Rattus norvegicus: one gene and its partner. The protein of the gene in region 1 interacts with the protein of each later gene in a biochemical or structural test. Links are inferred from orthologs where the notes say so. Each region holds a gene or a part of one and is shown on either strand. Other genes may lie near its edges. The genes, in order: Dlat and Pdk2.

Region 1 (3,826 bases):
AAAGCTTGGCAACAAGCACCTTTGACCACACCAAACCATGGCGCTGGCCCTTGCTTTTCCTTTAAGGCAGAATCATTTCTTCTAATAGCTATGAGGGAATCAGGCACAGTAGTACACGCCTGTAATCCCAGCACTTGAACTTCAGTCTCATCTCAAAGAAAAAAGGAGGAGGAGGAGGAGGAGGAGGAAGAGGAAGAGGAGGAAGAAGAAGAGGAGGAAAGAGAGGAAGAAGAGGAAGAAGAGGAGGAGGAAGAGGAGACAGAGCATGAGGAAGAGGAGAGGAAGAGAAGGAAGAGGAAGAGAAGAGGAGGAGGAAGAGGAAGAAGAGGAGGAGAAAAAGACTATTAAAAAGTACAGTATGTCAAAGAATAAGCTAGTGAGAAGGGGTCTTACTCTTTGATTGGCACTTGCCCTAGGCTACCAAGAGAATGGTGAAGAGCACTGTCTGTGACCACTACTGCCTGATGATGATGTCCTGCTCTGTCACTATGGCATAGATAAGCCTTCTGCTTCTAGAAACCATGGAAGAGTGGAAGGAGTTAATGACACCTAGGATTACAATAGACGCAAGCACAGATACATGACTGCATAGTGGATAAATCAATGAAGGGGCACATGGAACTGTGATACACATGAAGACCAACATCCCTGTCACTTTCAGATTATGAGACTCATCTACACCCTGGGTACTGTTTTCTCTCAGAATTACCTGAAAGGCTTTGGTATTCTCCTGCCCTAGAGGGCGTAACTTTCTTCCTCCTCTCTCTTTCTTTTCCCATGTTAAGACAATGGCAGTTCTGGTACAACTTCTGAGTACCATAAAAATATAGCCATGAGAGCGAACTGGGCCTAAGAATAGACCCTGACATATCCTCCAGCGATGAGTACAGCTCAGAACTGACATGTGTGGCTGTGATGACTTTGCTGTAAAATATGTTCCAGGCAGCAAATCTCAGGACTGTAAACGTCACATTATCACTCACTCAGTTCAGGAAAGGATGGCCATCCTCCTCCTCCTCAACTACCCAGAGCTGAAGAATCTCACCTATGGTGGCCTTGTCGGTCTCTATCTCTGCCAGCAAGTCTCCTTCACTCAGCTTCTCTCCCACTTTCTTTTCCCACCTCTGGACGGTGCCCATGGTCATGGTTGGGGAGAGGGCAGGAAGAACAATCTGCAGAGACAAATGCCACTCATCAATGCTTAACCAGAAAGCACTACACAGAAAAGCATTCAGTGCAGTGAGACCTTGTCACCCATCACAAGTCTTTGTCAATCCTTTTCCCAATTAAAGCATCCTTCAGAACCAGACACCCTAACCCATCCTCTATCCTCCAAAGTGAAAAGCAACAGGGAGACAGGAAAGATTTCTTTCATATGGTCAAAACAACCCCCCTACACACACACACACACACACACACACACACACACACACACACACACACACACACACACACACACACACAGTATCTTTGCAACCAGGTTACTGGTTCTTAATTTCTAATGCTGCTACAGGGAGACAGGAAAGATTTCTTTCATATGGTCAAAACAACCCCCCTACACACACACACACACACACACACACACACACACACACACACACAATCTTTGCAACCAGGTCACTGGTTCTTAATTTCTAATGCTGCTACCCTTTAATAGTTTCTCATGATATGGTTACCCCCAGGCATAAAAATAGATTTGTTGCTACTTTATAACTGTAATTTTGCTGTTATGAATCTAATGTAAGTAGCTGATATGCAAATATCTGATTGTGACCCATGTGAAAGGGTTGTTTGGCCCCTGAACGGGCCGTGACCCATAGGTTGAATGATCTTGGTGGAGACAAAGCACTCTGCTGAATTTGTTGTGTTCTTCAATAAGCATCTTTTCACCCATAAGAAACCACACTTATTTCACACACACACCTAATAAGTGTGTGTGTGTGTGTGTGTGTGTGTGTGTGTGTGTGTGTGTGTGTATTAAATTAAGGGCTAGAGAGAGGGCTAAGTGCTCAAGAACACTTGCTCTTGCACAGGACCTGAGTTTGGGTCTCCATGGGTCAGTTCCCAACCACCTGTAACTCCAGCTTCAGTGAATCCAATCCTGCCTCTGGGAATACCAGCATGCACATGACACACATGTGCACACACGATTTTTAAAAATGAACATTAGAGCTCTTCCTGGAACAAAGGATGAGGTTCAATAGTAGAAGAGTAGCTGACTAGAAGAACAATACATTATATTTTTTGAGACTTTTTAAAAAAAAAACAAAAAACACTCTCTCTCTCTCTCTGCGCGCGCGCACGTGTGTGTGTGTGTGTGTGTGTGTGTGTGTGTGTGTGTGTGTATGTGTGTGATATGCACAGGTGTACATAACATAAATGTCCAGTACAGAAGTCTGTGCTATCTCCCTCATTTCCTTGAGATAGGGAAGTCAACAAGCCTTGCTCTCTAACTCTGTCTTTGCTCCTTATAGCACTATGGTCACAGAAGAGGACTTACCCCCACGATGACCTCTACACAGATAAATGCAGTGTACCCACACACACACTAAATGCATATAAAAAAATTTGTATTTTGGACATGGTTTCTCTGTATAACAGCCATGGCTGTCTTGGAACTCAATTTGTAGACCAGGCTGTCCTCAAACTCACAGAGATCTGCATGCCTCTGCTTCCAGTGTGCTGGAATTAAAGGCCTGTACTACCATGGCCAGCTGATACATATACGTTTTTACTTGCATTCCTATTTATATAATTGTGTCCACTAAATTTGGGTGGCTGTCAGTTATCTGCTATCTTCTTTGTCTTTTAAATAGGAATAGCCTTATAGTAAGGAAAAAAATCATTTCAGTCAAAATTGTTTCTAGAAGTGGGGGAAAAAAATAAAACAAGACAGAAAATTCTTTTCTGGTTTTTTGTTTGTTTTTGTTTGGTTTGTTTTTTGTTTGTTTGGCTTCTGCTTGAGTGCTGGGATTAAAGGTGTGAACCACCACGCCTGCAAGACTTAGAAATTCTTTAAAAATTATTTTCGGTTCATAGTTTCTTTTCTTTGTTGCATAATCACCAGTGAGTAAGTGAAAGTATAAGTGTGTGTGTGAGTGTGTATGTGTGTGTGTATGTGTGAGTCTGTGTGAGTATGTGTGTGAGTCTGTGTGTGAGTCTGTGTGTATGAGTGTGTATATGTGTGTGAGTGTGTATGTATGTGTATATGTGTGTATGTGTCTGTGGGGGGGTGGGGAGAAATATACTCATTTATGTATCTTTACCATCTCAAAGGATTCTTAGGGCCCAATTCTAACACTTCAACACAAAGTAGGATAAAATGGAGAAACGAGGTCTTATGCAATAAAATAAGGTTGCTGAACTGAAAGAAATAACCATGAAAGCTAAAGACCAAGAAAAATGCCATCATAAGGGATTGTTAGCAATAGAAATGGAGCATGATTTCCAGAGAGAAACTGATTCACCCAGAAAACTTCTCATAGGGTTAAGGAAAGGTCAAATCTTTTTTTTTTTTTAATTTATTTATTTATTCAGACACACCAGAAGAGGACATCAGCTCTCATTACAGATGGTTGTGAGCCACCATGTGGTTGCTGGGATTTGAACTCAGGACCTGTGGAAGAGCAGTCAGTGCTCTTAACCACTGAGCCATCTCTCCAGCCCGAAAGGTCAAATCTTAATCCTGTACATTTTACTTCCCACATCAAGACCACACAGGGGGTTGGGGATTTAGCTCAGTGGTAGAGCGCTTGCCTAGCAAACGCAAGGCCCTGGGTTCGGTCCCCAGAAGACCACACAGACACACAGAGGAAAGTTCTAATAT
Region 2 (2,837 bases), on another chromosome or scaffold:
AGAGGGGGACTGGGCCAGTCCTGGATGGGACTGGCACGTGTCCTTTGTAGGATGTGTTCAGAGATAAGAGGGTCCAGGTGTCATGCTGACCCAGCTTCTTGGGTGCTGGTCAGTTACTACTGGGCCCAGGTTTCTGATGAGAAACCCCCACCCCTCCCAGTTTCCTGGAGGGGTGGACAGGACCTGCATGCTAACTCCCTCTCTCCTGCCTGGGAAAATGGCTGAAGGCCAGGGCCCTGTGTTTGGGCTCAGTCATCTGCACTGGGAGTGGGGCCTCAGAGGGAAACTAAGGTATAGGGGCATTGGTACTTCCTAGACTGGGTGGGGAGGGTGGAGGCCCGACTGTCCCTGAAGCCGTCAGGAGCCAAGTGTGCCCACCTGCATGTGAAGGGGGAAGATGGTTATCAACTTCTTTCAATAAATACTTACCACACACCAGTGATCTTTCTGTCTGGGACACGGGACTAAGCGATTCCTTGAGTGCCATTGGGCGATAGGGTGCCAGGTGTTGTGAGTGAGTGGATGGCCCAGCCTGGTGGCATGCTCTGCTCACCAGCTTGGCCAGATCCTGAGGAGTCAGTCCTCACAGGTGCTTTGTGTATGGACATCCCCTCCCCTCCGCAAGGAAGCCAGGCAGCAGTCACATTTCATCTATTTACTGTGGATGTCACTGTCACCATCCCAGCCACTGGGAGGGGCACACGGCTTTAACCCCTGTGTGCGGAGGGCAAGGGTGAGGCATCTGAGATTACAAAACTGGCTATGTACATGGGGCATCCTGGGTTTGAGTCGTCTGTGCACACATAGTGGGCATAGGAAGTCTGGGGTCTAAAGCTCAAGCAGGGATAGGGTGAGCGTAGACTGGGCAGGGGAGGTATACACGTGAGGACATGCCAGGCCAGGAAGCGGCAGAAACATTGCTAAGATCGCCTTGGGGACAGGTTACTCTTAGGCCTTCTCGGTGGGCCTTGGGTGAGAACGGCCACCCATTCTCAAGTTCCCAGTGGCAACTTTAGTGTCCAGAGTGGAGATGGAGAGAGGCTGCAGGACCAGAGACAAGGTTGGCCCCCGTTTCCCCAGTCTCTCTCCATCTTTCTTACTACTGACGAAGAAACCAGCCCAATGTGCCTGTACAGGGTGTGGGCATAAGGCAAGCGAGGCAGCCACGTGGGAGACCAGGACTATGCAGGCAGTGAGGGGGACCCAGGGTTTCTGGTAGAAAACAGACAGCTCTGGTCTTGGGAGAAGTGTCTCTGGGGCACCCCACCAGGTAGAGCCGTCCCCAACCCTCAAGCATCATCACCATGGAGACCAGGCTCCAGGGAAACCCCCTAGGTTTCTCCATAGAGACAGATTGGCACTTAGGGATCGCCACAGATGGGCCACTGCGATTTCTACAAAGACAGATCTGGCCATCGGGGAGACCCAGTTTCACCCCCGTACCCCAGGGGATAGATAGGGAAGTCCCTGTGGTGGCTGGATTCAGAGGTGGCAGCATCCTCCCAGGTGCCAGGAAGAGAAGGCCCCTAGCTGACCCGATACGTCGATGTGTTCTTGGGCTCTGTGCTGGGCACGCACCAGTCACCGGCCTCCTGGATGGTCTGGTAGTGGCGCCAGGCAGACTTGTTGTAGACAGGCAGGCGCTCCACTGAGTCCGTGGACAGGGCCTAGAGAGCACTGCCATCAGCCTCCTGCTTGCCCAGGCCCTGCTTACTGCCCTTCAGTCACCCAGGCCCTGATGGTCTCCATCCCCGGAGTCGTAACTCAAGTCTAAGCCCCATAATCAGACATTATCTGAGACACTGCCCCAGGCCCAGAAAATCCCCTAAAAGGGTCTGAGCCTTCTGTGTCTTGCCCTGGCCCATTCCATGAAGCCGTCCCCTCAAAGGTCAGGGAGGTAAAAAGGATCAAGGGGAGGAGGCTGGGTTGTGTGACCCCTATTAACACCAAGGCACACTTCCTCTCAACTGAAGTTCAAGATCTGTAAGGTCCCCCATCCTTCTAGCCCATGGCTCCTCAGAAGAAGGGGCCTTCCTCGTAGACCTTGGACCCCCTGAAGTTGCCCACCATATTAGTTTAAAGTTACAGCACTCGAGGAGCCAAGGCTCAGCTATGAGTCTGGGGCCAGGAAGGATGAGGGATGGGTAGAGACCTGCTAGCAGCAAGTTTGCCCCCTGGCGGGCCTCACCTTCAGATAGATGACAGCATCTGTCCCAAAGCCCTCCATAGAGAAGAGCTGCAAGTCCCCCTGGAAGTACTTGGCGTAGAGGCGGGAAATGGGGAGTCCATACCCAAAGCCAGCCTACAGAGGGGCCACAGGTCATACAGTGAGTCAGGGATGCTGGACTGAGGACAGGCAGGGGTGGAGAAGGGACATCTCCGAAGCAGATGGGAGTAGGTGGAAGGCAGGGGGACTGCAGAGGAAGCAGGGAGAGACAGGAGAGGTCTACCCAGAGGTCTGGGTGGTTAAAAGCTCCTTAGAGTCCATTCCCTAAGCTCAGGACCGCCTGTTTCACAGGAGCAGGGACAGAGGTGACAGCAACTAGCAATGATGTGGAGAACGAGGAGAGAGGACTGAAGACACATGACAGCTCAGCAGATGGGCAGATGATCAGCAGGCGGGGGGGCTATTAGCAAGCGGGGAGATGGGTGGCCATAGAGTCGAAACAGGAGACTGTTGTCACACAGCCATGTGGGGTGGGGGGTAGTATGCTTGGGAGTTGAAAAAGCAGGAGTCAGAGGACGGGAAGAAGCCGTCTCACCAGCGGGGTACCCCCAGTGCCAGGCTGGGGTGTAGGAGCTGTAGAGTACATGTAGCTGAAGAGCCTCTCGATCTT

What was found.
Region 2: the proteins of Dlat (region 1) and Pdk2 form a complex in vitro, tested with the Homo sapiens proteins (2 studies listed by BioGRID). The link is inferred for Rattus norvegicus from reciprocal best matches to the Homo sapiens genes DLAT and PDK2.

The regions. Positions count from the first base shown.
Region 1 is NC_086026.1:59,894,311-59,898,136, forward strand, and holds part of Dlat (dihydrolipoyllysine-residue acetyltransferase component of pyruvate dehydrogenase complex, mitochondrial), read right to left. Parts: intron 1,173-3,826; coding exon 1,046-1,172; intron 1-1,045.
Region 2 is NC_086028.1:80,468,748-80,471,584, forward strand, and holds the end of Pdk2 (pyruvate dehydrogenase kinase, isozyme 2), read right to left. Parts: coding exon 2,763-2,837; intron 2,303-2,762; coding exon 2,189-2,302; intron 1,678-2,188; coding exon of another isoform or gene 1,668-1,677; coding exon 1,527-1,667; 3' UTR 644-1,526; downstream 1-643. UniProt on the Homo sapiens protein: Kinase that plays a key role in the regulation of glucose and fatty acid metabolism and homeostasis via phosphorylation of the pyruvate dehydrogenase subunits PDHA1 and PDHA2.